Linked DNA regions of Macaca fascicularis. The protein of the gene in region 4 purifies or fractionates together with the protein of the main gene of each other region. This does not show direct contact. Links are inferred from orthologs where the notes say so. Each region holds a gene or a part of one and is shown on either strand. Other genes may lie near its edges. The genes, in order: POLR3E, POLR3D, POLR1E, POLR2L, POLR3K, POLR3F and MED19.

Region 1 (4,225 bases), on a different chromosome or scaffold from region 4:
AGAAAAAAGAAAAGAAAAGAAAAAAAGCCACAATAATGATAGTCATTAATTTAATGCCAGGTGGTGGCACTATGGATGATGATTTTTTTTCTTTGTAATTTTTGTACATTTTTGTACAAAAGATATATAGTGTTTTAGTCCATTTTCTGTTGCTTATAACAGAATACCTGAAACTGGGTAATCTGTAAAGAAAAGGAAGTTACTTATTACAGTTATGGAGGCTGATAAGTCCAAGCGCAAGAGTGTGCATCTGACGAGGGCCTTCTTGCTGGTGGGGTACCCCTGCAGAGTCCTCAGGCAGTACAAGCCATGATATGGAGGAGGTGCTGAGCTGTTCACTTGCTGGCTCAGGTCTAGCACTTATAAAGCTCCCACTTATAAAGCCATCAGTCCCCCTCCCAAGATAACCTATTAATCCATTAACCCATGAATCCATGAATAGATTAATCCACTCATGAGGGCTCCACCCTCATGATCTAATCACCTCTTAAAGGGCCCACCACACAATACTGCCACATTGGGGATTAAATTTCCAACACATGAAATTTGGGGGACACATTCAAACCATAGTACATATTAAACTGATAATAATGGTTACTTAACCTCTGCGGAGGGGCCTAGGATGCGAGTCAAGAGTCAAAGAGCATTTGTACCTTATCTGCAAAGTTTAAATATTTTACAATAATTCGTGTGTTATTTGTGTAAGTAAAAATTTAAACACATAATTTCTCAGAGACAACTGCCCAGACCAGCCCCCGGGTTTGGCCGTCAGATCCCCTAGGGCGTGTTTCTGATCAGATCGATTTCTTCTCCCGGAGACACGCAATCCGGGTCGTATGGATTACTTGTGAGTTAACCAGGGGTCTCCAGGGTAACCATCCATCTCAGAGTACAGTTTCTAAAAATGAGTTTTGCTCTAATACCTATTCGGAACAAACCTGGGTCTAAAAACTGGAGCAAGTGTTTATTTTCCAGCACACGGCTTTTTAAAATAATTCTATAGGGATCAGCTTGAACACACATTAAACAAAAAAACCTCAGCGAAAACGCCTCGCGATTTCCAGATGAAATGCGAATGCAAAAGCATTAAGTAGCGTTCTGGCAAACCCTTTCTCCAGCTGGGTAGCGTGGCCGAGCGGTCTAAGGCGCTGGATTAAGGCTCCAGTCTCTTCGGGGGCGTGGGTTCGAATCCCACCGCTGCCAGGGTTGGTTTCTTTTTGTTCCCCGCTGCATACACGCCCGGCTGTTTTGCGCGTGCCATCAGCGCCCCCTGCTGCAGGGCGGGGCTCACGGCCTGCATGAATGGCGCGGCGGAGGGGGCGGAGCCGTGTGCGCCGGGGCGGGGCATTGTGGGTAAGAGGAAGCGCTGGGGCCGGCCCGCTCCCCCCACGTGTCCGCCGGAGTTTCTCCACCAGCAACATGGCCGCCGCCTGAGAGGAGAGCCGGGCCGCCGCCGCATCTGCAGCCCGCGGGTAACTGGGCGGTTGCCGCCGTCCGCGCTCGGCCCCCGCGGAGAGGTGAGTCCCATCTTGGCAGCGCCCGAGCTGGGGCTTGAGCCGGACCGCACTCATGACGTGGGTCTGGGCTAGATTCCCGAGTAGGCCAAGGAGGCCCGCGCCGCGCCGTGCTGAGGGGCTGGGGGCCTCTCGGGACTCGGGCGGGAGGAGGGGCAGCCGGCTCCAGGCCGACCCCGGACTCCTACTTCCCCGACCCGACACCTGGGAGTTGGGGAGGCCGCGGCCGACGCTGCCGGCGGTGACTCAGGGTCCTGCCGACCTGCCCCACCCGGGCCTGGGGGGCATCCTACGGAAGGAACACCTGTCCTCGGCGTCGGGTGTGGTGGCGGCTCGCGGCAGGGACTGCGTGGTGGGCGTGAGAAGGGGTCCTGACCACCCGCGAGGGAGCAGAAACCCATTGGACAGCGAGGCTCGGGGTCGGCGGCCCGCCCCGATGGGCAGGGAGGGCACCTGCGCCTGCCGGAGCCCCCTCTTCGCAGCTGAACCGGATTAGCTTCTGCCTGGCGAGGCCTGGGATTCCTCGTTCATTTATTCAGGCAACCATTCAGTGTTTACTGAGCCAACTCTGTGCTCCGGATACGGCCCTGACCATTCGGTCCGAGGAGGTGTCAGTAAACAAACAAGGTCGTTCCTTTGGGTTAGCTTTAGAATTCCTTGGGCTTGGAGGCGGAAAGAAGAGATCTTAGCGATCTCAACAGTTCCTCATCTGTGAAATGGGGATAATAGAAATTCCTACCTCATAGGGTTGTGGTGATGGCTCATTAGAAACCAGGTGACGCTCCCGCTTGCAGCGTTTTTACCCGCCTACATTGGCAGAAAACATGTTGTCAAGTAATAACGAACCTTCCCATAGGTTACGTTTATTACCGTCTTTACTCCTCCCCGCAGCTGTTTGTAGGTCGGTACTTAGTTTCCCTACTTTAGGGATGAAAATAGGGAAGAATACCAGACGTAGACAACTCAAGTAGGTCACAGATGCGAAGCAGCTGCGGTGGGATTTGAACCCGCGTAGTTTTGCTCCGGAGTTCAGGCTCTTACCCACTTAACCATACTGCCTTTTATCGAAGATCTGTGCAGTATACTGGTTAAGAATAAGAATAAGGATCTTTGACATCAACGAGACCCTAGTTTCTGTCCTGATTCCACCTCGGATGAGTTACTTCTCTCTCAACCTCAGTCTCCTCATTTCCAAATTGAAGATGATAAATCTCTATTAATAGGGCTAATGAGAAGATTAAATATAAAGTATTCTTTGTACTATATTGAGTGTCAACTTCGTGCCAGGCACTGTTCTAGGTATTGAGAGATCTAGCAGTGGATATATATTTTTTTTAATCTTCATTTCATAGTTGAGGAAACTGAAGCACTGAGAAGCCTTCATGGAGCTTACATTCTATTGCAGAAGACAACACCTGAGCAAATAGACCAGGTAGTTCCAGATTAAGGTGAGACCCATTAAGGAAAGAAAATAGAGATGTGGTAGTGCCTGGGAGGAAGTTGGGGGAGGCTTTTAAAATAGGGTGGCCAGGGAACCTATCCTCTCCTGCAGGCGGTGATGATACTTAATAAAAAGGAGCAACCTTGGAAATCCCTGTGGGGGAATAGATGATGTGCAAAGGACCTTGGGTGGACTGGGGCTTGGCTTGGTGGAGGCCCAGCAAGTGGCTACCAGCCTGGATGGTCAGGGGAAGTCAGAGACAAGATCATGTAGGGCCTTAGGCGGCTCATGGAAAGGAGTTTGGGTTTTGTTTTATGTGACAGTGACAGTTGACAGGTTTTAGGCAGGGAAATAATGATTTACATTTTTTTTTTTTTTAAGATGAAGTCTTGCTGTGTTACCCAGTCTCGAGTGCAGTGGCAAGATCTCAGCTCACTGCAACCTCTGCCTCCTGGGTTCAAACGATTCTTCTGCCTCAGCCTCCCAAGTAGCTGGGATTACAGGTGTGCATCACCACACCTGGCTGATTTTTGTATTTTTAGTGGAGACGGGGTTTCACCTTATTGGCCAGGCTGTTCTGGAACTCCTGACCTCAGGTGATCTGCCTGCCTCAGTTTCCTAAAGTGCTGGGATTACAGGCGTGAGCCAGCGTGCCTGGCCCCGCCCCGAATAGAGATAGAGTCTCACCCTGTGACTCAGGATGGAACACAGTGGTGTGATCATAGCTCACTGCAGCCTCAAACTCCTGGATTCAACCAGTCCTGCTGCCTCAACTTCCCAAGTCATTGGGACTGCAGGCCACGCTGGGCTAATTTTTTTTTTTTTTTTTTTTTAAAGAGAGACCGGGGGTCGGGGGGGGGTCTCACTATGTTGCTCAGGCTGGTCTTGAACTCCTGGTCTCAGGCAGTCCTTCCACCTAAGCCTCCCAAAGTGTTGGGATTACTGGCATGAGCCACCACGCCAGCCTTTCCAAGGACTCACTGTTGCTGGGAGACTTTGAGGCAGGTAGCCATAGGGAGACATGGATGAGTTCTTTTCACATTGCAGATTGAGATTTATTAGTGGGAAGTAAAATTGATTTAGTGGAATTGAAGCTAGCATTTTTTGTTTTGAATGAATGAAGTAGAAAACATCACTGCCTGACATATAGTAGAGACAGAGTTATATGAAACTTTGTTTCAGTTACGCAACTGTGTGTATGTTCTGGGTTATTTATATGAGATGAATTTCATGTTGTTTTTTTTTTCCCCAGAGACGGAGCCTTGCTCTG
Region 2 (4,180 bases), on a different chromosome or scaffold from region 4:
CTGGATCACTTCTGGGCGGCCTCGTCCTCGTCCATGCCCCTCTCGCTGTCGGTCTCTGTCCCTTTCACGCTTCTCCTTCTTGACAGTTACTTCTTCCTTGGGCCTGGAAAAAAGAATGGATTAAGGGAAACCACTCACTCACTGTGTCTCCAAAAACTGGCCTTACTCTCCCATACCACTTCACTCCAAGACAGCGGAGAGTTTGAGCCAATAATTACACCATGAGAAGCAGAATCCAATCCTAATTCTAGCACTTTTCTCACTTCCTTGATGAGGCAGGATTTTTTCAGTTTGCTTTACTTTACGTTCTTGTCCAAAAATGTAGATTTTTGTTTGCATTGGGACTGAAAGCAGGAAGGCAGAAATGCAAAGGAACTTCAGGGAAAGCGTGATACATCTTTGTTTAAACTATTGGCTCTCAACTCGGGCCATCAAAGAGAATCACTCCATTCTACTGCCAACAAGTTAAATCACAATTTCTAGAGATGGAACCCTAGACACCAGTATTTTTTTTTTTTAAAGCTTAAACATTAGAATCACCTAGGAGCCAGGGTTGAAAATCACTAGTGAAAAGAACTAAAGATATAAATTTAAATTTTGGAGCCACAAACCTACTTATTTCTCCCCAAAGCCCCAAATTCAGAGCAAGTAAATAAGGGGCAAGTATTCAGAAGGACTAGCTACTTACTCTTCCTTGATCTTCCGACTGATGATATTTGGGGTGAAGGTTTTCTGAAAGCAAAATACAGGAGTCACTGATGTGTTAGGTCCTGATCCCAAAGTACAGAGGAAAATAAAAACTCCCAACGGGCATCTTCTACAGACCACGGCCACCATGACTCTCTTTGGCACATTCCACAGTGCTGTCAGTTTTCTAGATACACGTGTGCCTGAAAAGGAGGAACGTCATGGTGTGGTGGCAGTGGAGTTATGCATAGAAGAAAGGGGCACCAAAAACCATTTTTAACCAGCAGCCTTAGGAAAGAAGATCCTGAAAGAAGGTCCTCTGGGACTTCTAAAAGCAAAGGAATTTCTCTGGTCTCACCTCTTATCTTCAAACTGCTATAGAGACCAGTCAGTATCATGGGGGAACATCTCTAGCAGCAAGGCCTAAGTAGGGAAGGCCACAGATCTGCCAATACTCTCAATCACTGTTGGCAGTGTTTTTCCATATTTTCCAAGGCAAAGTTAGGTTTCTAAAGACTGCTTTATGTCCAGGCGTGGTGGCTCACGCCTGTAATCGCAGCACTTTGGGAGGCCAAGGCAGGTGGATCATGAGGTCAGGAGTTCAAGATCAGCCTGGCCAAGATGGTGAAACCCCGTCTCTACTAAAAACTACAAAAATTAGCCAGGTGCGGTGGCAGGCCTCTGTAATCCCAGCTACTCGGGAGGCTGAGGGAGGAGAATCGCTTGAACCCCAGGAGGTGGAGGTTGCAGTGAGCTGAGATGGTGCCTCTGTGCTACAGCCTGGGCGACAGAAAGAGACTCTGTTAAAAACAAAACAAACAAACAAAAAAAACTGCTTTATTTGGCCGGGAGCGGTGGCTCACGCCTGTAATCCCAGCACTTTGGGAGGCCGAGGTGGGTGGATCACAAGGTCAGGGGTTCAAGAACAGCCTGGCCAACATGGTGAAACCTTGTGTCTACTAAAAATACAAAAATCAGCTGGACATGGTGGCGGGCACCTGTAATCCCAGCTACTCAGGAGGCTGAGGCAGGAGAATCACTCAAACCCGGGAGGCAGAGGTTGCAGTGAGCCAAGATCATGCCATTACACTCCAGTTTGGGGGACTAGGGCGAGACTTCGTCTCAAAAAAAAAACCCAAAAACCTGCTTTATTCTTCTGTCATCCTGACACCACCCCTTTCTGGGCTACTCTTGACATCCACAGTCATATACACATGGGACAGCCCACAGAGCCTCGAATGCCATGCCTAGGATTCATGATACTCTAGATAACAAGTTTGCACACTGAGATGGTGAATTCTGAACGCTCTAAGACTGTGAAGTTTATGCCTGCCTGGCTTTCATGGGTTTCTTAAAAATGTCCAAACACACAATAAGAGTAAATAAACACTGTTCAAATTACTTTTGAACGACTTTAACTTATTAGGATTCTCTGTCTTTCAACCACCTCTGGGACTCATTTCAACATTTTGTACTCAGTACCTAGATTTGAAGATAGGACAGGCTCCCTAGAATTTAAAGAGGGGTAGGCTTGAGGCCCAACGACACTCCTGACACATAGTAGGCCCTACACAAACATCAGTTGAATGCCGGGGCTTGGAATTCAAGGTAGTTGAGTTTCTTTAGAAACGCGCCGTTGGATACCTTCTTGACTCCCCCGAGGGTGAGGTCCCTGGAACGGATGGAGGGAAGGCGGCCGGGGGTGAGGGGAGGCGCCGGCCGCCGCCCGATGAGCCCCCGGGCCCCAGTCAGGAGGGGTCGGGGCCCTCCCGGAGTGCTGGGCTCGCCGGCGGCGTTTCCTTCCGACATGTTGCCTGGGAGAGAAGGGGGGACGAGATTACCAGAGTGGACTGACACGCGGACCCTGGCGGAACCCAACCCCCTTGCTTTCCGGTCCCCCAGTCGGTGCGTCCCTCCAGTGGCCTCTCAGCTCCTCCCCTCCCACGTGGCGAGATTCCCGGGACCACCCAGGTGAGAGCCTTTGGCTCGCGACACGCCCTCTCTCCAGGAACCCCGCCCAGGAACCAGGCAGGGACGCACCCGGGCCGCGGCTCCACACCGCGCGTCACCACTTCACCTGCGACGCGACCCGCTGCCAGCTTTAGGTCTCCGCACCGGGCGGAAGTCTGCGTGGCACCGCCTGGGCGCTGCCATCTTGGCACGGGCCGGATGTGACGTTTCGGGGGCGGGACTGGGCCACAGTATTTATCAGGCGGCGCTTCGCTCCCCTCCGCCTTCTCTTCCCGGTTCTTCCCGGAGTCGGGAAAAGCTGGGTTGAGAGGGCGAAAAAGGATGAGGGAACCGGTCTGGGCTACGCTATGTGGCGGTGCTCGGGGGTCTTGGCCCCCGGGCGGTGGCGTGGAGGTGCCGAGATCAGGGTCGCGGGTCTTGTCGGCCGCCAAGCCGCAATGTGAGGCTTCGCCTCGGCGGAGCCCCTGGGAGCTTGGGGGTAGCTGCTCGGGATGGGACGAGGGGCGCGGCACAGAGAGCGAGACCTGGACTTAGAGTCGGGGAGTCTTGGGCCGTGCCGAGCCCTGTCTGCGGGTTCTCCATGGTGACCTTGGAGTGGTCACTACCTCCGGGCAGCGACCTCGCCCACTCTCGGGGACCCCTTCCCTGTGCTCCTGGTGGAGTCCTGGGGTGAGGCTGTGAGGGCAGCGTTGGAACAGCCGCAGTGGACCAACTGGTGCCCAGTCACACCCGCTTGGGATCACGAAGGCGGTGGCCCTCGGGTGCGCTCTTGGTCAAAGCCTGGACAGAATCGGAATACCAAGTTTGCTCTACTGCTGGAGGAATTTAAAGAACTTTTATTGACTCCAGCGTTTGTGATATAAAAAGTGTCGTTTAATGTTATCTCCCATCCCCCCAGACCGTATAAAAACATTATTACGGGGAGTTTGAGGAAAGGAAATCGTTTCTACCAGAATGCCACGTAGAGTACTACTATTAAAAATTTTGTAATGTGTCTAGTAGTCTTCACAGAGTTGTATCACAATTTCGTATCCTTTTTCTTTTCTTTTTTTGAGGCGAGGTTTCTGCATACTGCAACCTCTGCCTCCCAGCCTCAAGCCATGCTCCCACCTCAGCCTCCCAAGTAGCTGGGACTCTAAATACATGCCACCACGCCCGGCTAATTTTTTTTTTCTTTTTTCTTTTTCTTTTTCTTTTTTCTTTTTTTTTTTTTTTTGTATTTTTGGTAGAGACGGGATTTCACTGTGTTGCTCACACTGGTCTTGAACTCCTGAGCTCGAGTGATGCCACCCGCCTCGGCCTCCCAATGTGCTGGGGTTACAGGCGTCAGCCACTGCGCCTGGCCTGTATCCTGCTTTTTCAAATAACATTTCTCTGTTACGGCATCAAAGACTGCATAGTTCTCCAGTGGCTGTATCATGATTTAAGTATTTCCCTGATTGTTTCTTTTTTCCCTGTTTTAAATAATGCTGTAGTGAATATCTGGTACATTCGACGTGCTTTTTTTCAATTTTGTTTTGGT
Region 3 (4,309 bases), on a different chromosome or scaffold from region 4:
GTATGTTAGCTCGGAGGTTGTGGTGAGAGGATCACTTGCGCCCGGAAGGTCAAGGCTGCAGTGAGCCCTGTTTGCAACACTGCACTCCAGCCTGGGTGACAGACTGAGACCCTATCTCAAAAAACAAACAAACAACAAACGCTGGGACAATGGTAAACTTAAATGGGATGTGAGGATTACATGGTAGTAATGTACCAGTGTTAATTTCCTGATTGTTTTCTGTTTAATTTTTTTTTTTTTTTTTTTTTGGTCGCCCAGGCTACAGTGCAATGGCACCATCACAGCTCACTGCAGCCTTTGCCTCCTAGGCTCAAGCAATCCTCCCACCTCAGCCTCCTGAGTAGCTGGGACGACAGGCGTGTGCCACCACACGTGACTAATGATTATTTTTTTGTAGAGACAGGGTCTTGTTATGTTGCCCAGCCTGGTCTCAAATTCCTAGAATCAAGGGATAGAACTGCCTCTGCCTCTGCGCCTGGCAATTTGCTGATGGCTGTGTTGTTATTTAGGGAACGTCCTTGTCTGTAGGAAATACTATAGTCTTCGGGGTGAAAGGGTATCAGGTTGACAGCTTACTCTAAATGGTTCAGGGCAAAAAAAGTTCTTGCAGTGTTTCTTTAAGTTTGAGACTGGGTAATTAGAAAAGAGTGACAAGTTGCAGGCTTTAAGATTATTCCTAGGATTCTGGGTGTTGGAGGAGGGTGTGAGGATGTGTGGAAGGAAAAGAGTCCTGAAAGAAGGTGATTTGGAAGACAGAGGGGAGTCAGCCTGAGTTCTTGCCCTTCAATAGCACGCATCTTTGGGCAAAGGGGGCCTCGGCCAGGGTCCATGCTTAAAGGTCCTGCTTTTGCCTTTTTTGTGCTCTGAAAACTCCCCGTGCAGAAGAATGGTTGAATCCGCAGTGAAAAAGGGACATGTCTATCAGCTCGGACTCCCTCTTCTATTTCAGTCCAGAATCTCCTGGCCAAAGGCCCTGGGGTTGGTTGGGCTTCTGTTCCATCACCTCAGGGTTGATCGGGCCACATGTGTGCACGCCACAGCGCATTGCGGGGCGCTGTTTGTCGGACTGTGGACAAAGCTTGTACCTAGAACTGGATGTCCACGTGGGTGGGTGGGAGGTCCTAGAGAGGGGCGGCTTTTTGCCAGCGGCCACATTTAGTTGGGGCTCAAGGAGTTCCTGTTAGAGAATTCTAAATTTGAACTTGGTCTTTCAGGTCTTGGGAAGACGTGTTTGTCACGGTAGGAGAGAGACGACACTCTCTCTAGACTGTGCTGAGCCGGAAGAAGGCTCACAGCAAGCTTAGGCTGAAGCCGTAGGATGCCTCAGGCTCTGGACCTACAACACCCAGAGCGCAGGCGAGCGCTGAGCTAATCACGTGCTGCGCCTCGGCCAGTCGCGCGAGTATGTGGCACCTTGTGGGCGGAGACCGCGCCTCTCCGCGCGGGGGGCGGGGACACGCGGCTCGCGCACTGTGGGCGGTGCCCGGCTGGGGCCACGCCTTTTCCGGCCTGCCGCGCGGCGTAGGCTCCCGCGTGTTTAAAAGCGGGTTTGTGGCTACTGCTGTCTTAACTGTTGTACTTGGCGGACAAACAGGCGAGATGGCGGCGGAGGTGTTGCCGAGTGCGAGGTGGCAGTATTGTGGGGCGCCCGACGGGAGCCAGAGAGCTGTACTGGGTAAAGACTGCAGAGCTGGAGCAGTGCTCCTCTAACCCTCCCCCCTTCCGTCTCGGTATCTCAGCTGTCCCCTCGCACTCCGTTAGGCTTCTCCCCAGCGGGGCCAGGACGCCTGTAGTCTCCACCACTCTCCTGGGCTCGGTCGGGGCTGCCCTGTCCGTCTTTCTGTCACTACCGCCCAGCCGGATTGGGACATCCCACTCACCCGCTCCCCAGGGCTGTGTCCAGGACCCTGCTGTCCCCTCACCCACCAGGTCTCCCACCTCCCCCGTTTCCCTCTCTTCACTGGGCAGGGGTTCCTTCTGTCACTTTAGGTGTGGACCAGGCGTCTGCTGTCAGCCTCCTTCCGCGAGACATTCCCCCTTGTTACAGCCCCTCCCCAGGGTTCTCCCACCTCCCTAACCCCTCTTCTCAGCTGGCCCCGGATCTCCTCTAGTTCCCTTTGGGTCAGGACCCGAGCTTCCTTGCCATCCCCATTCTGACACTCACTCCCTCCCAGTGACAGTCTAGTCCCACCGTACATTGTGTGGCCTTCTGCTCTCACCTGATTCTTGGGCTGCACTCTTACAGTCCAGTTCTCCAACGGGAAGCTACAGAGTCCGGGCAACATGCGCTTTACCTTGTATGAGAACAAAGATTCCACCAACCCCAGGAAGAGGAATCAACGGATCCTGGTAAGTGAAGCAGTTGCCAGCTGCCTCCACTCTGCAGGGCTCAGAAGGCGCCTGGGAGTGGGTGGTGTGGGAGGGAGTGAGGGGAGAAACAGGAGAGTAGTAGCAAATGGACCTTTGAAGAACTCTGATGCCCAGCAACTTGGGATGTGGGGACAGGCTCCATCTTTCATTCATTTATTCTTTCAACAAGCATTTATGGAACCTCCTCTGTATCCCTGTGCTGCAAGCTTCTAGGAAAACAGCCAAATCAGGCCTAGCCCCACTCGGAGTTCATACTCTAGAACAGGGTTTCTTAACCTCAGGACTATTGACTTTTGGGGCCAATAATTCTTTGCTGTGGGGGCAGCATCCCTAGTCTCTACTCACTGGATGCCAGTAGCACCAGAGTGGATTTCCCTGGATTGAGAACCTCTGCTCTAGAGAGATGAGAACTGGCTGTGAGGGACACTTTTACACAAAGCTCTGAGGCCACGTGCGGAAGATTACAGGGCAGAGTGAGCTCAGTGGGAGGAGAGGTCTCTGCCAGAATGCCTTCCTTGGGGAGGTCATGTTGGAGCTGAGCCTTGAAGGCTGGAACGAGGGTTTGGCAGTCAAGGTTTGGTGTTCTAAGTGAAAAGGATAGCGAGGACAAATGCAGAGAAGCAGGAAAGCTTGCTTATGATTGGGGAGTCAATCAGCCATGGTCCTGAGAGTATACAAAGAACAGCCATGGGAGAGATGGGCAAAGAAGGTGAAAAAGGGCTTGGACTTTGGGCCAAAGAGAGATTGCTTACAGAATCACTTTGTTGCATGCCTGTAAGTGCTAGAAGCCCAGGGCCTCTCTCTCAAGTCTTGTGATAGAATTCCCCCAAGAGCTTTTCATACCATTAGAAGCTAGCACCATCTGAGGCTTCTCTTCCAAAAGTTGTCTTGCTTCCCCCGCAGGGACACCCCATATTCCCTTAGAGAGAGTGGAGCTGGATCATCTGCCAGAGATGAACTAGTTCTAATCCATTGTGAGTCTGGATTCAAAAGCCTCAGCAAATGTAGAAAAGAGAGATGATGCTTAATACCTTTCAACATTGGTTGTAAATGGAGTTTCTCCTCTCTGCATTTTAGGCAGCTGAAACAGATAGACTTTCCTATGTGGGAAACAATTTTGGTACTGGAGCCCTCAAATGCAACACTTTGTGCAGGTAATGGCAGGGGAAGGGACAGCGGGAAGGGTGATGGGGTTGGGAGTGGTGGCAGCACTGGCACTGCTGTTTCCTGTCTGTCTTAAGGGCAGTAGGAGCCATCTAGAGCGGTTTACTAGGTGATTCCTGTGTTCCTATTAGACATAGAGCCCTTCCCCTCACCTGTAGACATTGCTGGAAAGGAAAGATAACTTGAATTTCCTGAAAACCTCATTTGTAACCTTGTTTGTTTATAGCTGTCTTATTCCAAAAGGCAGTTCTCTCCATTAATTTGGAATGTGTGACTAGTAGGTCAAAGCTTGCGTGAAGTTTACCTGGGAACTAACGACAGGTAAAGAACTTGGTAGTGTTGAAGGCTCTGGGCTGGGAAAGAGAAGCCTGGGATTCCCATCCCTCTGTGCTGCTGTTTGACTGAGTGGCTGGGTAACTCTGCCCATCACTGACCCCTAGTCTGTACAATGAAGATTGTCCAACCTCAACTATATCACTCTCGGGGGCTGGCATGATGCAGACAGGGCCCTGTGATGGTACCCAACAATGAACTACAAACCAGGCCCTTTCTGAGCCTTACTGGACCATACTCCAATAGAGGTCAGATTGCTGTATAGGTGCTGAGAACTACTAACCCTGCACTCTCCCCTCTCAACGATGCCCTAGTTCCAACTGGTCTCCTTCCCGTTTACTTGATTTTGCCTCCATAAAACTGTTGTGCCATAAATTCTAGTGTAATTCTAGATTCCTACACCCCAAAAGAGTTTTCCATTACAGTACAGCAGCGAGCCCGA
Region 4 (4,267 bases):
AGGCTGGAGTGAGTGGCGCAATCTCGGCTCACTGCAAGCTCCCCCTCCCGGGTTCAAGCAGTTCTCCTGCCTCAGCCTCCCGAGTAGCTGGGACTACAGGCGCCCGGCACCTCGCCTGGCTGTTTTTTTTGTTTTGTATGTTTAGTAGAGACGGGGTTTCACCGTGTTAGCCAGCATGGCCTCAATCTCCTGACCTCGTGATCCACCCGCCTTGGCCTCCCAAAGTGCTGGGATTATAGGGGTGAGCCACCGTGCCTGGCCTAAATCTGGCTCTTCAGATTCCAAGAGAGAGAGTACAGGAGCCTCTGCTCAGTCTGAAGAGCACCCAGAAGGAGGGAACCTCAGCCCTGAGATGGAAGGCTCTCCTGGCAGCACCTCCTGCAGGGGTACCTGTGGAACAGGCTGGCCCCAGGGCTAGGAGAATTCATGGCCCAGTCGGCTTCCCTGGGCTGCCGCGGTGAAAGCTGGGCCTAGTCCTGGCCCCTGACATCCTAGTGAGGGCTGGGACCTTGGTAGTTCTGAAAGACCTTTACTGGATTGTTCCTTCCAGAGTGGGGGATGGGACACACACACGCTGTGGCGAGGCATTGCGCCAGCTCCTGGATGCCTCAGCCTTGTGAACTTGGGGCAGGATGCTCATGGCCCATGGTCAGCATGGCAGGTAGGCGGATTCCAGCCTGGTCACTTCTCCAGGGGTGCATAATTGAGCAGCTTCTCGATCAGGTCCACGTGGGCCAGCAGCATCCGGCGGCAGCAGTAGCGCTTCAGGCCCAGGGCGTCCAGCGCATCCCTGTGTCAAGCGAGGGGAGGAACAGAGAGGCCAGCTGAGTTCTCCACGGTCTGCACAGGCCTGGAGCCCACATCCAGGCCGCCTCTCACTGCCTGCTGGCCTCACTCCCCTGCTACCGGCAAGGCGAACACATTCACCTGGATGAGAAGTAGAGACCTAGCGGTATGATCCTGGCTGGAGTAACCTGGCAATGCCCAGATCCCTGGGTGGAGCGTGAGGAGCCTTCTCTCCCACCTACTCTGGCTGTACATATGTGTGTCTAACATATGTAAGAAATATAAATGAAACGAAAACTAGAGGTAATTGGGGGAGCATAGAAAACCAAGGCCACCGAGGTCCTGATGCGCAGCTCCCCTCATCCCGCACCAGCCACAGCAGGGTAGCTCTCCAGGGGCCTGCCCTTAGCTGGTTCATCCCCCACCCCAGAGCAAGCCCTACTCTGCCACTGTGGCGTCTTTTCTCACCTCTGCTTCCTTCAATCAGGGAGAGACTGCTTCTCCAGGGAGCCACCTCTCCCATTTCCCAAGCCAATTAGAAGCTTTAATTTCCCTGGGACCAAGGTCCAGTCACCATCAATACTTCCAGAAAACTCCCACACTGATGGCTCCAATGTGCAGAGAGAGAAGCTTGGGAAAGGGGAGGCCACATGGGAGGCCCCTGCAGTTCATATCCCTGGGAAAGGGTCTGGACAGGCCACCAGCCACTCACTCTGGCAGCCCACTCGCTTTACTCATTCGTCCAGCAAGCTGCACTGAGAGCCTATGGCAGGCTGGCACACACGAGCCTGGGGTTTCACATGTGACCAGGACTCAGCAGGCAAGGGTCAGACTCCAGCAGGGGCACCAAGACTCAGGCACGGTGGTGACAGCAGCACTGAGGGACAAGCACAGGAGAAGGATGCCTCCCCCACAAAGCCCGATGATGAGGGTGGTCAGCAAGTCTGCCCTGCATTTCTTTTTCTGTGTGTGTGTGTGTGTGTGCGTGACACGGAGTTTCACTCTCTCATCCAGGCTGGAGTGCAGTGGCGTGATCTCGGCTCACTGAAATCTTCACCTGCCTCCCAGCCTCAAGCGATTCTCTCGCCTCAGCCTTCCAAGTAGCTGGGACCACAGGTGTGCACCACCAAGTCCGGGGAATTAAAAAGATAAGAGGGCCAGGGGCGGTGGCTCACACCTGTCATCTCAGCACTCCAGGAGGCCGAGGCAGGTGGATCACCTGAGGTCAGGAGTTCGAGACCAGCCTGGCCAACATGGCGAACTCCTATCTCTACTAAAAATACAAAAATTAGCCGGGCGTGGACACGCCTGTAGTCCCGGCGACTGGGGAGAATTCCTGGAGCCCAGGAAGCAGAGGTTGCACTGAGCCGAGATCGCGCCGCTGCACTCCAGCCTGGGCGACAGAGCGAGACTCCGTCCCCCCCAAAAAAAAAAAAGAAAAAATTTCTGGAGATCAGGGTCTCCCCAGGTTGTCCAGGCTGGTCTCGACCTCCTGGGCTCAAGCAAGCCTCTCGCCTCGGCCTCCCAAACTTCTGGGATTACAGGCGTGAGCCGCCGCGCCCGCCTGTCCTGCAGCGAGGTTTGCAGGACATGGGGTGGGTCTGGGAGCAGAGACGAGAGATTAGGACGGAGACCAAGGGCTTTACTGCGGGTGACAAGACGCCTGCCACCCGCCAGGCCACCTAGAATCCCCAGGACACCACTGGTTTGAAGCCCAACTCCGCTCTCTCCCCAGACTTCAGGGGACAATGTTCTCCCGAAAGCAGATCACAGAGCTGGGCCGGAGTGGCCGGGTATGAAGCTGCTCATGGAGCGCCGGCCCCAGGCAGCGCTGCGCCTCCCGCCCCGGCCCGCACCCCAGGGCGGACTCAGCCCCCAGCCCCGGCCCCAGCCCGCGCCTCACCCCTCAGTGTACTCGGCCTGCAGCAGCCCCAGGTAGGCCTCCCACTTGTTGCCGACGATCTTGCCGCAAGTGAAACACCGTACAGGAATGATCATGGCGGCGGCGCGTCCCAGACTGCCCGGCCCGGTCCGGCCGCACGGGAAGCACTCCCCCCAGGCCCCGCCCCGGGCGCGTCCACTATCGCGGGGGGACCGGCTCCGCTCGTTCTCCGCTGCCCCAGCCGTTCATACACTGGCCCCGGCGCAGCTGGCCGCAATTTCCGCCGCCATGGGGATTCCCCATGCGGCCCGGGGCTCCTGGGCCTGCACGGCCGCGGCAGCAACAGACGACACACCCCCGCCCACCATCTTGGTGCGTCCCGGAGCTACGGCGTCTGAGCAGGGCCGAAAGCCGCGGTGGCGGTTCGCGTTTCTCGTGTCCGCTTGACTGACAGCTGCGCGGAGGGAGCGGACGAAGCGAGCGGGAGGCGGCGGCGCAGGTAGAGCGCCCGGGGGGTCGTGGGGGCGTGCGGCCAGGGTCTCGCGGCCCGAGGTGTCCGACCGGGAGCGGCTGGAGCCGGACGCGAGCGGGGCGCGCGAGTTCGAGCCTAGAGCCGACACGCAGCAACAAGTGGGGTCCGGCGCGGGGGCTTGGGGAGAGGGCGGGCGCGGACCGGGGCGGGTCTTCCTGCTGCCCCTCTTGGCCCCGCCGGGTAGTGGGTCCCTCCGCCTCCGCCTCTACTCGCGGGGTGTCCGGGGCTCTCGGCGCCGAGTTCGGGGGTCCCATTCTGGACGCGGCCCAGCCCCTAGGAGCGCCGTCCTGGCCTCGGCCGCGCAGTTACGGCCCCCGCCGGCTGCTCCCCGCCCCGGCCTCCTGTCCGCGTTCTTTCCGCTCCTTCCCAGGAAGGGGGTCGGGGTGCGCCCTCCCCGGTCCCGGCTCTGCTGGGCTGCTGGCCGTCCCGACGCTGAGACGCGCCTCTGAGCACGGGGAGAGGGGGCCCGGGAGGGAGGTCGGGGAGGGCGTCGTGGAAGAGGTGCTCTTTGAATTGAACCTTGAAGACCGCGGCACAGGGGACCCCTGGGCAGACTCCCGGAGGCTGCACTGGCAGGACCCGCTGAAGGCCGCAGCTCTGCCTTGCCCTGGAGCTCAGGGCCTACGGAGGACGAGGGAGGGGGAGCCCGTGTCTCTCGGATGGAGTGCGGGGGGGCTGGCACCAGCACCCTCCTTGCTGTGCCCCTAGGGTGGGGGTGAGGAAATGGGGGGTCGGTGTGCAGTAGGAGGCAAAGAAGACTCCTTGGAGGTGCCAGGTAGGCTGTGGGGGGGTGGGTGGGCTGCAAAGTGGCACCCATGGGGGGGCTCTGGGCTGGGGCTTCCAGCTGGGGTGGGACCTGTGCTGGGTTCCAGGCATCAGCTGCCGCTTTCTCAGGGCAATGCTGGGTCTGCCTTAGTTGCAGGGGAGGAGGATGAAGGGTTTTCTGGATCCAGAGTGGTGCTGGCCAGATCCACTGCACACTTGGGATTTCTGCTCCCAACCTGGCCAGGGCCCTGGGCAGCTTCCCCAGTGGCATTTGTCATACCCCACCCAGCCACGTGCAGAGC
Region 5 (4,349 bases), on a different chromosome or scaffold from region 4:
GTAACAAATACTAATAAATTATTCAAAAACCATTTCTATTTTTAGAAACCTACATCATTTATATGACATCACAGACTCTGCCATGCAGTGGCATCAACAGCCTCATAATTATCCAGTTTAGCAACAGAAACAGTGTTCCCTCTTACCTGCAGTAGAGTCAACATTCTCCCAGGCAGCTGCTCCACCAAGCACATCATCCACTTCTTTCAGTTTTGGGTACTTCCGATTTGTTACCTAACAAAAACAACACTTCAGACTCCAGGTAACTGCATAGCACAAACCTGGGCTGCCAAACCTCGAATTTCAGGATTATATAAGAGTTCACTCTTCCCACAGTTTCCAACTCCAAACTCCCACAACACAGTACAAAATGTAGTAGCATGCAAACATTAAGACTGAGGTAGCACCAACATATTCTTTTTTTTGTTTTGTTTTGTTTTGTTTTTTGAGACGGAGTCTCGCTCTGTCGCCCAGGCTGGAGTGCAGTGGCGCGATCTCGGCTCACTGCAAGCTCCGCCTCCTGGGTTTACGCCATTCTCCTGCCTCAGCCTCCTGAGTAGCTGGGACTACAGGCGCCCGCCACCGCGCCCGGCTAATTTTTTGTATTTTTAGTAGAGACGGGGTTTCACCGTGGTCTCGATCTCCTGACCTTGTGATCCGCCCGCCTCGGCCTCCCAAAGTGCTGGGATTACAGGCGTGAGCCACCGCGCCCGGCGGTAGCACCAACATATTCTAACTTCTAAAAATAAAGGTATTCTGGCCAGACGTCGTGGCTCATGCCTGTAATCCCAGCACTTTGGGAGACCAAGGCAAGTGGATCACCTGAGGTCAGGAGTTCGAGACCAGCCTGGTCACCGTGGTGAAACCCCGTCTTTACCAAAAATACAAAAATTAGCTGGGGGGTGGTGGCAGGAGCCTGTAATCCCAGCTACTCAGGAAGCTAAGGCAGAAGAATTGTTTGAACCCGGGAGGCAGAGGTGGCAGTGAGCCGAGATTGCACCATTGCACTCCAGCCTGGGAAGCAAAGCCAGACTGTGTCTCAAAAAAAAAAAAAAAAAGCTGGGCACGGTGGCTCACGCCTGTAATCCCAGCACTTTGGGAGGCCAAGGCAGGCGGATCACAAGGTCAGGAGATCGAGACCATCCTGGCTAATACACGGGGAAAGCCTGTCCACTAAAAACACAAAAAAATTGGCCAGGCGTGGTGGCTCACACCTGTAATCCCAGCACTTTGGGAGGCCGAGGCGGGCGGATCACAAGGTCAGGAGATTGAGACCATCCTGGCTAACACGGTGAAACCCTGTCTCTACTAAAAATATTAAAAATTAGCCGGGCGTGGTGGTGGGCGCCTATAGTCCCAGCTACTAGGGAGGCTGAGGCAGGAGAATGGCGTGAACACGGGAGGCGAAGCTTGCAGTGAACCGAGATGGCGCCACTGCACTCCAGCCTGGGCGACAGAGGGAGACTCCGTCTCAAAAAAAAAAAAAAAAGTAAAAGTATTCTAAAAAGTAAAAAGAAAATATGTATTATCAAAGGAAAACAACAAGTTATAATAAAGCATGCATCATCTGCTTACTGAACACCTACTATATTCTAGGTTTCATTTTAGTTGTTCAGAATATAACATAGAAGGGAACAAAACGGAAAACCTCTGCCCTCCTAGACCTTAGGTCCTACTTTTTTTTTCTTTTTTTTGAAACGGAGTTTCACTCTTGTTGCCCAGGCTGGAGTGCAGTGGCGCGATCTTGGCTCACTGAAACCTCCGCCGCCCAAGTTCAAGCCATTCTCCTGCCTCGGTCTCCCGAATAGCTGGGATTACAGGCGCCTGCCACCATGCCCGGCTAATTTTTGTATTTTTAGTAGAGATGGGGTTTCATCATGTCAGTCAGGCTGGTCTCGAACTCCTAACCTCAAGTGATACACCCGCCTTGGCCTCCGAAAGTGCTGGGATTAGAGGCGTGAGCCACGGCGCCCGGCCAGGTCCTACTATTAATAAACAAAGCACACGATACATTACGTAATGTATTCGAAGGTAACAAGCCCTGTGGAAACAATTACAAAGGGAAGGAGGATACATTGGACGGAGGGGCTGCAATTTAAAATACGGTAAAGACAAGACCAATGAGTAAGGTGGCTATCTAGGGGAAGAGCGAAGTTAGTAACAGTAAGTGCAAAGGCCCTGCGAGCGCCATGTGCACAATGAGAGATCGTCCAGGAGGCTGGTGTTGATGGGGCAAAGGGCAATAGGACTTGAAATCGGAGAAGCAAGTCGGGGAGGGGGTCAGTGTCTGAACATGGTAGGCCCTGGAAGAATTCCAGCTTTTCGTCTGCACGAGCTGGGGAACGGCCGAAGGTTTCTGCGCACAGCACGGACCTACGTGCCTCAGCTTTAAGGGAATCGCCGTGGCCGCTGCTGTGAACGCAGAGGAGGGCGCAAGCGTGGGAGCAGGAACCCAAGGAGGCGGGAAACGGTGGGGCTTTCTGAGTGTGCTGGAGCCCACAGAAAGAGCCCACAGATCTGCTGCAGACCGGAAGGGGGAGCGAGAAAGAGCGGACAGAGGCAGACGCCGGGGCTGGCGGCGATGGCGCCGCAGTCGGAGGAAGGGGAAGGCCTGCGAGAGGCGCCCGCGGCCCAGCGCCGGCCTTCGGGTCCCACCTTGCGGGTGATGTTGTGCACGTAGGGGCACGTGTTGCAGGCGAAGCGGTGGCAGCGTTGTCCCTCCTCCACGATCAGCCCGTTCCCGCAGCCGGGGCAGAATAGCAGCATGGTCTCGAACTCCGCAGGCGCCAACCACCGGCAGCTCACACTGCCGCTCAGCGCCGACGCGCGGCCCGCCTCGAGCTTACATTGGTCCTGGCGGCCGCCTCGCCCCGCCCACCAACCAATAGACAGGGCGATTCTGCGCTCCCAGCCCTGCTGCTGGCTGTCTCGCACTTGTCATTGGTCACTGCAGCCGCCCCACCCCTCGGCGCACCAATGGCTGGGCGGCCTCGCTGGGACCGGCCGCAGTTCCTGCGCGTGCGCGCTTGGCCTCCCTAGTGCGTACTGGAAGTGCCGGCAGAGACCGGCTGAGAGGTGCTGCCCTGGAGGAGATGGAGGCCGCGGGTGGGTCCGAGGCGCAAGAGGAAGATGAGGACGAAGAAGAGGCGCTGCCGCACTCCGAGGCCATGGACGTGTTCCAGGAGGGTCTGGCTATGGTGGTGCAGGACCCGCTGCTCTGCGATCTGCCGATCCAGGTGTGTGCTGGCGGGGGCCAGGGGGGCGGGAGTCGTTCCCCGGGGGCCGGGCGTCCGGGCGCGCGCAGCCTCTGAAGGTGCTGGTGGGAGGCTGCGGCCCAAGGCTGAGGAAGGCGCCTCTGGGCGTAAACAAGGGTCTTTACCTTGGCCAGGCACACTCGCCTGCGGCGCGAAGTTTAAAGAGGAACCAAAACCCTCATTAGTGAGTGACATTAAATGAAATTTTAATGTAATTGTATTTAGGGGGCTGGGGGGACAGGGTCTTGCTCTGTCGCCCAGGCTGGAGTGCAGTGGAGCGATCTTGGCTCACTGCAGCCTGCACCTCCTGAGCTCAAGCCATCCTCCCACCTCAGCCTCCGGAGTAATTGGGACCACAGATGCGCGCCACCACACCCGGCTAATTTTTAAATTTTTTGTACAGAGGGAGTCCCACTATGTTGCCCAGGCTGGTGTCAAACTCCTGGGCTCAGGCGATTCTCCTACCTCAGCCTCCCAAAAAGCTGGGATTATAGGTGTGAGCCACCCACTCGGCCTGTAATAGCTTTAAAAGTCAAAGGTGATGCAAAAAAAAAAAAAAAAAAAAAAAAAACCCTACGATAAACGAAAAAACTTAGTTCCATTTGCCTCAAGCGTCAATATGCTTTGGCACGATACTTTTTATTTATTTGAGACTGAGTCTTGATTTGTCGCCAGGCTGGAGTGTAGTGGTGCGATCTTGGCTCACTGCAACCTCCCACTCCCAGGTTCACTACAGGAACACGGCACAACGCCCGGCTAATTTTTTGTATTTTAGTGGAGACGGGGTTTCACCATGTTGGCCAGGATGGTCTCAATCTCCTGATCTAGTGATCCGCTGGCCTCGGCCTCCCAAGTGCTGGGATTACAGGCGTGGACCACCGCACCCGGCCAGTTTTAAATGTTTTATATTTTGCTCATCATGGATATTTTAATTGCCTTGTATTTCTTAAATGTTGTATTAAAATATTTGTTATTACCGTTTTTTGTGTACACCTGCCTTACTCAGTCCTGGGCCCTGGCCTGGGTCCTGATGATCAGGGATACTCAGGGTGAACTGACAGGACCCCACCCACCCCTGGGGATGGATCCTCATGT
Region 6 (3,565 bases), on a different chromosome or scaffold from region 4:
AAAAAAAAAACCAAAAAAAAAAAAACCAAAAAAAAAAGAGCATACTATAATAGGGCCCGCTTTGTGATCATCAAGTTAGGAGTAGTAGAGAGGCCTTTTACTGTGGCATTAAGATGACCATGCTCACCTGTCTGCTGGGCAAAAGGTCATCACCAGGTAACACAGGAAAACAGGCAGGGAGACCTATACATATGAATGACTTGATTTTGATTTACCGAATGTTTCATGTTTAGCTACCTTTTTGTGAAGGGTGCAAAATAGAATTCCTAATATGTTAGCCTTTTGTCTACAGATTGAAACCAGGGCATAGAGAGCTTAGGCATATAGACAAAGGCTGATATAATGAAATAAAACACACGCAGGCTCATGACTATAAATGCCATGAGGACTGGAACAGTGTCTTATACTTTCTCTTGTATCCTTAGTGACTAGAGCATAGAGTTGGCACTTATAAAATTTGGGAACGAATGAAGGAGGAGTGCTGGGGCATGCTGCAGGGGAAAGACATGATCTCTGGGTTTGAATCCCAGTTACTTCTAAGCTATAGGCCCCTAGGTCTTCCTAAGCCTAAGCTCCCTCACTTTTAAGGGGAAGTAACACCACGAGCTTCAAGAAGGTAAGGAAGATTAAATGAGACCACCTATGGAAATCATCAAGGACACACCTGGCCCAAGGTAGGTTCTCAACAAATCTCATTTTCTGCCCTATTTAGGTGAAATGATTAGCCCTCATCAAAAAGTGTCCATTTCAAGGCCAAGAGCAGAAAACGCAAATATCCTTAATGTGGTTATTCCAAGAAAGAATGTAAAGCAGGAGGCTGGATATGGTGGCACATGCCTGTAATCTCAGCACTTTGGGAGGCCGAGGGGATCACCTGAGGTCAGGAGTTCAAGACCAGTCTGGCCAATATGGTGAAACCCCATCTCCACTAAAAACACAAAAAATTAGTTGGGCATGGTGGCGGGTGCCTGTAATCCCAGATACTCGGGAGGCTGAGGCAGGAGAGCCGCTTGAACTTGGGAGGTGGAGGTTGCAGTGAGTCAAGATCGTGCCACTGCACTCCAGCCTAGGCGATAGAGTGAGACTCCATCTCAAAAAAAAAAAAAAAAAAGAATGTAAAGCAATGATTTGTTCATTAAAGGTCTGTTCATCAAGGTTTCACAGAGGTTTGAATAGCTCTTGGTCAACCCTAAGAGTCTGAGAAAACTGGGGTGTGCTTGCTCTGTTTCTTAATGTGGCACTTGCACCCAGGGGCAGTCAAGTGTAAAGTGAAGCCACTGTAACTCACCGGGCAGAGTCCACAGGGTGCCCGGACCAAACCCGTGGGAGGGATGATTGGACTGACTGCCCTGTACAGTTTCATGTGTCCGTCTACACTGCCAACTGTGCCTTCTTTTGCAGCGATGATCGTCATCTCCACTTTTCCATCATAAATGAGTGTATTCAGGATGGTTTCAATGTCCTCCATGGATAACTCTACCTAAAAAAGGGATACATCAGAAAGGACACAAATAGGACAGGGAGATATCCACTTGGAGGGTGTTAAAACAGTAAACGGTTGCTGGGCGCGGTGGCTCACGCCTGTAATCCCAGCACTTTGGGAGGCCGAGGCAGGTGGATCACCTGAGGTCAGCAGTTTGAGAGCAGCCTAGCCAATGTGGCAAAACCCCATCTTTACTAAAAATACAAAAATTAGCTAGGTGTGGTGGTGGGCATTTGTAATCCCACCTACTCGGGAGGCTGAGGCAAGAGAATGGTTTGAACATGGGAGGCGGAGGTTGCAGTGAGCTGAGATCACACCACTGCACTCCAGCCTGGGCAACAAGAGCCAAACTCCATCTCAAACAAATAAATAAAACAGTAAAGGGTCACAATTCTTCTGTGAAATGGGAGAAACATTATGCTGGGGTGGAGTAATTTGAAGCACAAAGAGGAGGAACAATAGTCCAAGTTAGCACAAACCACTGAAATGCCAGGGACAGAACTCTAAGCGCATGCTGAGTTTGACACTTTCTGGTATTTTTTACTTCTTAAGTAAAATCTAGAAATCTTATAAAAAAGTAGCATTTCTTTAGCAGGAATTTATTGGAGATTTATAAAATGCTTGAGCAGAAAGGCACTTTAAACATCAAATAGTCCAAGTTCCTAGTTTTTATTTTTTTATTTTTATTTTTATTTTTTGAGACGGAGTCTCGCTCTGCCGCCCAGGCTGGAGTGCAGTGGCCGGATCTCAGCTCACTGCAAGCTCCGCCTCCTGGGTTCACGCCATTCTCCTGCCTCAGCCTCTCGAGTAGCTGGGAGTACAGGCGCCCGCCACCTCGCCCGGCTAGTTTTTTTGTATTTTTAAAGTAGAGACGGGGTTTCACCGTGTCAGCCAGGATGGTCTCGATCTCCTGACCTCGTGATCCGCCTGTCTCGGCCTCCCAAAGTGCTGGGATTACAGGCTTGAGCCACCGCGCCCGGCCAGTTCCTAGTTTTTATAAATGAGAAATCTGAGGCCCAGGAAATTAAAATGAAATGTCCAAATGGCCACTTCTTCACTGTGAAAAGCATCAGTGTCCTTAAAAAAAAGAATTTCAAAAGGCTAAGGTACAGTGGCACTTTGGGAGGCCAACGCAGGAGGATCAGTTGAGTCCAATAGTTTAAAACCAGCCTGGGCAACAAAATGAGACCCTATTTCCAAAAAAAATTTAAAAAGCATCAGTGTCCCAAGCTTAGTGTCAGTTCAGACAATGCCCAATGGCAGCGACTGCCTTTGCTTAAGATACAGGACAGTATTTTCCCAAAGTGGATTCTGGAGAATGTTCGTAGCTATCATCCCCCAAAAAACAGTCTGGGTCAAATACATGTTTGGAATATACTGTATGTGATGAAGAATATGTTTTAAAAAATAAGATGAAATTCAGTTCTGACCTTACTGATTCCCAATTCACAGATATATTTCCACACTTCATGTGATGAGGCAAATGAACTATTTCTTTGTATCATTGGGTTCTGTTTGCTTTCTCGTGCAGTTTCTGCCTATAAGGATTGAAACATAAGAAATCTAAGCAAGAATATTGGTGTGTTTTCTGAATACACTTTATACTGAAACCAACAGCAGAACATATTTAGTTTAGTAAAAATTACCAATTTCAGGTTTTTAATTCCTATAAAATATGATAGATTAAAATTCTCTATGAAAAACTTTTTACAAGAGGGTTTGCAGTGATGTTTCTTCAATCATACCTCACCTTGGATTGTAGGAATTTAAAACACTGTTGGTTCAGCACCTCTACAAACTCAGATTCAAAATCCTGGTCACTATACCAGGCTCCGCCAGTCACAGACCGGTCCGGCTGCAGGTTATAGAGCATGTACACCTTCTTTTTTGAGGCCTAGGAAAGAACATGCACAGTTCATGTGTTTATAACAATTTCCAAAAACGAAAAGAAAAACACCTATATTTTGGAACAGTTTAAGACGTACAGAATTATTGCAAGGATAGTACACAGAGCTCCTATATGCTCCACATTGTCTCACCTATTTTTAACGTCTTGGATTAGTGTGGTACACTTGTCACAAT
Region 7 (4,014 bases), about 15 Mb from region 4:
CAGGAGAATCGCCTGAACCTGGGAGGCGGAGGTTTCAGTGAGCCGAGATTGCGCCATTGCACTCCAGCCTGCGCAACAAGAGCAAAACTCTGTCTCAGGAGAAAAAAAAAAAAAAAAAAAAGAGAGAGAAAGGCAGCATCTTGGAGACCAAACATGTCCAAAACAACTCGATTTCCACCTCTTCAAACTTGTTCCTTCCTCATCTTCCAAGTCTCATACCCATACACCCAATTATTCAAGCTGAAAACTTAAAAAGGCATCAATTCTTCTATCTCCTTCACTTCTATATACAATATGTATTTTTAACTGAGACAGCTTCTTCCTCTATCATCTAAGCTGGAGCACAGTGGCACAATCACAGCTCACTGCAGCCTCAACTTCCTGGGCTCAAGTGATTCTACCACCTCAGCTTCCTAAGTAGCTGAGACTACAGGTGTACGCTGCTATCCCTAGCTAATTTACTTTTATTTTTTGTAGAGATGGGGTCTCATTATATTGCCCAGGCTGGTCTCAAACTTTTGGGCTCAAGCAGTCCTCCCACCTCAGCCTCCCAAAGTGCTGGGATTACTGGCGTTAGCCACAGCACCTGGCCCTATATTCAGCTTTTCAACCCTGTCAGCTCTACGTCTAACACCCTGTATCCATTTACTTCTCTAAATAAGTACATTTGACCAAGTTCCTATGTTAAAATGGCTTTCCTTGGCTGGGCACAGTGGCTCAGGCCTATAATCCTAGCACTTTGGGTGGCCAAGGTGGGAGGACTGTCATTGGCCAGGAGTTCAAGACCAGCTTGGGCAACACAGTAAGACCCAGTCTTTACAAAAAATTTTTAAGTTAGCCAACTGTGGTGGCACATGCCTGCAGTCCTAGCTACTTGGGAGGCTGAGGTGGGAGGACAGCATGCGCCTAGGAATTGGAGGTTACAGTGAGCTATGACTGTACCACTGCAGTCCAGCCTGGGTGACACAGTGAGACCTTGTCTCTATAAAAAATTGTTTTAAATGGCTTCCTTTTGTATTTACAATCTAAATGCCTTTATTGCTTTATAAAAGCCTCTGCCTAACTCTCCCAGCTTCATCTCTCTCCTAACACTCTTTCCTTTTGTTCACTTCACTGGAGTCCAACTGATTTTCTGTCCCTCAGATATTCTAAGCTTTTTCTCACATCAGGGTTTCTGACCTCATTTCCTGTATCTAGAATTATCTCTCCCTCCTGTCCATAGCTGGCTGGCCCTTTGTCTATGCTTACATTTTAGTTCAAATTTTAGCTATGTGGAGAGAGCATCTCTGGCCACTCTAGCTAAAGTAGTTCTGCCCCTCAATTTTTTTTTTAAGAGACAGGGTCTCATCTGTTGCCCAGGCTGGAGTGCAGTGGCACAATCTTGGTTCACTGCAGCCTGGACCTCCTGTGTTCAAGCAATTCTCCTCCCTTAGTCTCCTGAGTAGCTGGGGCTACAGGCAAGCACTACCACGGCCGGCTAATCTTGTATGTTTTGTAGAGACTGGGTCTCGCCATGTTGCCCAGGCTGGTCTCAAACTCCTGGGCTCAAGGGATCCTCCTGCCTCAGCCTACCCAAGCGCTGGGATTACAGGCGTGAGCAATGCGCCTGGCCACCTTCAATTTTTTATAATGTTTTCTCTTCCTAGCATTAACCACTCTCTGACATTATCTTGTTTACAATGCCTCCTACACTGAAATGTACATTCCAAAAAAGGCAAGCATCTTGTCAGTCTCGTTCACAACTGTATCTCCAGCATTTAGAAAAGTGCTTGGTACATAGGTACTCAACAAAATAATTTTTTGAATGAAAAGAGTTTGGTTCGATTCTTACCCCTTCTTTGATGACACCAGGAAACGCAGAAATCTTGGAAGAGTGGCAACTTGCCCCAAACCCACAGCAAGTCTGTGGGAGACTTGTAACTAAAACTTTAGGTCCCCAAAGATATTAAATCAGGCCTCTCGAGTTCCAAACTCAAACTCTTGATTTTTTGTTTGTTTGTTTTTGTTTTGAGACGGAGTCTCATTCTATCGCCCAGGCTGGAGTGCAGTGGAGCAATCTCGGCTCAATGCAACCTCCGCCTCCCGGGTTCCGAGTAGCTGGAATTAAAGGCATACGCCACCACGCCCAAGTAATTTTTGTGTTTTTAGTACAGACAGAGTTGCATCATGTTGGCCAGGCTGGTCTCGAACTCCTGACCTGAGGTGATTCGCCCGCCTCCGTCTCCCAGAGTGTTGGGATTACAGGCGTGAGCCACTGCGCCCAGCCCTAGATAATTTTTTAGGGAGACATAAACCAGTGTCAGGAACACAGCCTGGACATGGTGCAAAAGACAGTCACGGAGATGCACCACCCCGCTCCCCGCCATTCATCCCTTTGGTTGAATTCAACTCATCCCTCTGCTTGTGAATCCTAATAGCCCTTTCGACTTAGGGCTCCACAGTCCGGGTATGCGTTGCCTAGGTTACCTCGCACCTCCGTTAGCCGGCTGAGAGCCACGCCCAACACCTCCTCTCTAAGATTTGATTGGCTGGCTTTGGCAAGGCCGAGTACTCACCTGGCAGTTCCCTCATGAGGTAAAAAGGGCCACAGCCAGCTCCTGACTTGTCCGCGCCGGGAGGGGCCGTGGCCGCGGTGGGAGGCGGAGCCGTGCCGGGTCCCCCGCCCGGAGGAGGCGGTGGCGGGGGTGGAGGCTTTCCTGGTCCGAAGCCTAGTGCGGTTGGGGGCGGTGGTGGGTCAGCCTGAGCCCCGAACAGCGCCGTGAAATTCTCCATCGTCCCCTCCGCCCCGGCGCTGTCTCGGTGTCTGGCGTTGGTAATTTTCATTGGACAATGCCTTTAAGGAATACCCACCTCTTTCTCAAGGAACCGCTTGTCATTGGATGCCTCAGGCACCGCCTACCTTGTTTCAACAACTACTTCCGTCGCTCTCTGAGAACGTTCAGGAAGTGCTATTTAACCTTATTAGAGTCTTCTGCTAGCTACGTTAGCTACAGTCCAATAAAATGACTTAAGCTGATAAAGCGACAGCTAGACCAACCAATAAGATATTAAGTTCTTTTTTGGGTTCTGACATACCACAGCGTTGACAGAACTACATCCGGGTTTAGAGGCCGTACGTTTGAGATGTAGCCCAATAGCAGTCGCTATGGTGGGGGAGGCGGGGCCGGACCTACGACGCCGGTGAGCAGTGGCCCTTGCGGCCGAAAAGATGGCGGTCTTGGCTCCTCTAATTGCTCTGGTGTATTCGGTGCCGCGACTTTCACGATGGCTTGCCCAACCTTACTACCTTCTGTCGGCCCTGCTCTCTGCTGCCTTCCTACTCGTGAGGAAACTGCCGCCACTCTGCGACGGTTTGCCCACCCAACGCGAAGACGGTAACCCGTGTGACTTTGACTGGGTGAGCGTCCCGCGTCTCAGTACCGCGACCTTGACTGTCCCTGCCCTTGCAGGTGCATCTGGGAACCCTGGGGTTTACCTTTCTGAGGACACCTGAGGTTCCGAGCCTGTAGCGGATTTAACAGACTGTAAAGTGCAGAGTCCGAAACATCGTCGAGACTAAACTTTGTGTTTAATATGGGAAAACGGAACCTGTTAGTCGTAGCCCTGTACAACGGCCCAACAGCTTCTGACTGTTGAGTCCAGGTTTCTTTCCATTTCACCATTTAGACTAAGAAACAGCCCTGTCAAAACTGTACATATACGTGTATAGCATCTTACAGTGCCGCTCATTATGTAAAGCCTCCTGAGGAGCCAGTAAGGTAGGGAAGGCAAGTAGTAGTAGTCCTGTTTCATTGGTGAAGGAATGGATCTTGGTATATTTAGGCGACTTGCCCCAGGTCATGCAACTAATGAGTGCCTGGGACTTGAAACTATTCTTGTGGCCACACTACCTGCACACACTGTCAGCCGTTTCTTAATTCAATCAACATTTCTAGAGTGTACACTCTAGGCACTCTGCTTGATCCTGAGGATGCGAAAGTGGATAAAATTTTGGGGCTACTGTAAAGGAATTGT

Evidence for each region.
Region 1: the proteins of POLR2L (region 4) and POLR3E purify together in Homo sapiens (affinity purification with mass spectrometry; 4 studies listed by BioGRID and IntAct, with this or other methods). This does not show direct contact. The link is inferred for Macaca fascicularis from reciprocal best matches to the Homo sapiens genes POLR2L and POLR3E.
Region 2: the proteins of POLR2L (region 4) and POLR3D purify together in Homo sapiens (affinity purification with mass spectrometry; 3 studies listed by BioGRID and IntAct, counting the BioPlex papers as one, with this or other methods). This does not show direct contact. The link is inferred for Macaca fascicularis from reciprocal best matches to the Homo sapiens genes POLR2L and POLR3D.
Region 3: the proteins of POLR2L (region 4) and POLR1E purify together in Homo sapiens (affinity purification with mass spectrometry; 3 studies listed by BioGRID and IntAct, with this or other methods). This does not show direct contact. The link is inferred for Macaca fascicularis from reciprocal best matches to the Homo sapiens genes POLR2L and POLR1E.
Region 5: the proteins of POLR2L (region 4) and POLR3K purify together in Homo sapiens (affinity purification with mass spectrometry; 3 studies listed by BioGRID and IntAct, with this or other methods). This does not show direct contact. The link is inferred for Macaca fascicularis from reciprocal best matches to the Homo sapiens genes POLR2L and POLR3K.
Region 6: the proteins of POLR2L (region 4) and POLR3F purify together in Homo sapiens (co-immunoprecipitation; 3 studies listed by BioGRID and IntAct, with this or other methods). This does not show direct contact. The link is inferred for Macaca fascicularis from reciprocal best matches to the Homo sapiens genes POLR2L and POLR3F.
Region 7: the proteins of POLR2L (region 4) and MED19 purify together in Homo sapiens (affinity purification with mass spectrometry; 3 studies listed by BioGRID and IntAct, with this or other methods). This does not show direct contact. The link is inferred for Macaca fascicularis from reciprocal best matches to the Homo sapiens genes POLR2L and MED19.

The regions. Positions count from the first base shown.
Region 1 is NC_088394.1:21,283,744-21,287,968, forward strand, and holds the start of POLR3E (DNA-directed RNA polymerase III subunit RPC5), read left to right. Parts: upstream 1-1,399; 5' UTR 1,400-1,517; intron 1,518-2,866; 5' UTR 2,867-2,962; intron 2,963-4,207; exon of another isoform or gene 4,208-4,225. UniProt on the Homo sapiens protein: DNA-dependent RNA polymerase catalyzes the transcription of DNA into RNA using the four ribonucleoside triphosphates as substrates.
Region 2 is NC_088382.1:25,316,029-25,320,208, reverse strand, and holds the start of POLR3D (DNA-directed RNA polymerase III subunit RPC4), read right to left. Parts: upstream 2,850-4,180; 5' UTR 2,765-2,849; exon of another isoform or gene 2,728-2,764; intron 2,502-2,727; 5' UTR 2,497-2,501; coding exon 2,332-2,496; intron 733-2,331; coding exon 689-732; intron 104-688; coding exon 1-103. UniProt on the Homo sapiens protein: DNA-dependent RNA polymerase catalyzes the transcription of DNA into RNA using the four ribonucleoside triphosphates as substrates.
Region 3 is NC_088389.1:61,840,621-61,844,929, reverse strand, and holds the start of POLR1E (DNA-directed RNA polymerase I subunit RPA49), read left to right. Parts: upstream 1-1,497; 5' UTR 1,498-1,599; coding exon 1,600-1,675; intron 1,676-2,174; exon of another isoform or gene 2,175-2,245; coding exon 2,246-2,349; intron 2,350-3,447; coding exon 3,448-3,524; intron 3,525-4,309. UniProt on the Homo sapiens protein: Component of RNA polymerase I (Pol I), a DNA-dependent RNA polymerase which synthesizes ribosomal RNA precursors using the four ribonucleoside triphosphates as substrates.
Region 4 is NC_088388.1:742,486-746,752, forward strand, and holds POLR2L (DNA-directed RNA polymerases I, II, and III subunit RPABC5), read right to left. Parts: upstream 2,806-4,267; 5' UTR 2,785-2,805; coding exon 2,690-2,784; intron 791-2,689; coding exon 682-790; 3' UTR 514-681; downstream 1-513. UniProt on the Homo sapiens protein: DNA-dependent RNA polymerase catalyzes the transcription of DNA into RNA using the four ribonucleoside triphosphates as substrates.
Region 5 is NC_088394.1:781,854-786,202, forward strand, and holds the start of POLR3K (DNA-directed RNA polymerase III subunit RPC10), read right to left. Parts: upstream 2,819-4,349; 5' UTR 2,767-2,818; coding exon 2,656-2,766; intron 235-2,655; coding exon 147-234; intron 1-146. Other genes in the region: SNRNP25 (U11/U12 small nuclear ribonucleoprotein 25 kDa protein), read left to right, coding at 3,093-3,236. UniProt on the Homo sapiens protein: Core component of RNA polymerase III (Pol III) which synthesizes small non-coding RNAs using the four ribonucleoside triphosphates as substrates. Can mediate Pol I proofreading of the nascent RNA transcript.
Region 6 is NC_088384.1:68,803,972-68,807,536, forward strand, and holds part of POLR3F (DNA-directed RNA polymerase III subunit RPC6), read right to left. Parts: intron 3,378-3,565; coding exon 3,234-3,377; intron 3,022-3,233; coding exon 2,914-3,021; intron 1,481-2,913; coding exon 1,289-1,480; intron 1-1,288. UniProt on the Homo sapiens protein: DNA-dependent RNA polymerase catalyzes the transcription of DNA into RNA using the four ribonucleoside triphosphates as substrates.
Region 7 is NC_088388.1:15,893,006-15,897,019, reverse strand, and holds the start of MED19 (mediator of RNA polymerase II transcription subunit 19), read right to left. Parts: upstream 2,806-4,014; 5' UTR 2,773-2,805; coding exon 2,556-2,772; intron 1-2,555. Other genes in the region: TMX2 (thioredoxin-related transmembrane protein 2), read left to right, coding at 3,209-3,397. UniProt on the Homo sapiens protein: Component of the Mediator complex, a coactivator involved in the regulated transcription of nearly all RNA polymerase II-dependent genes.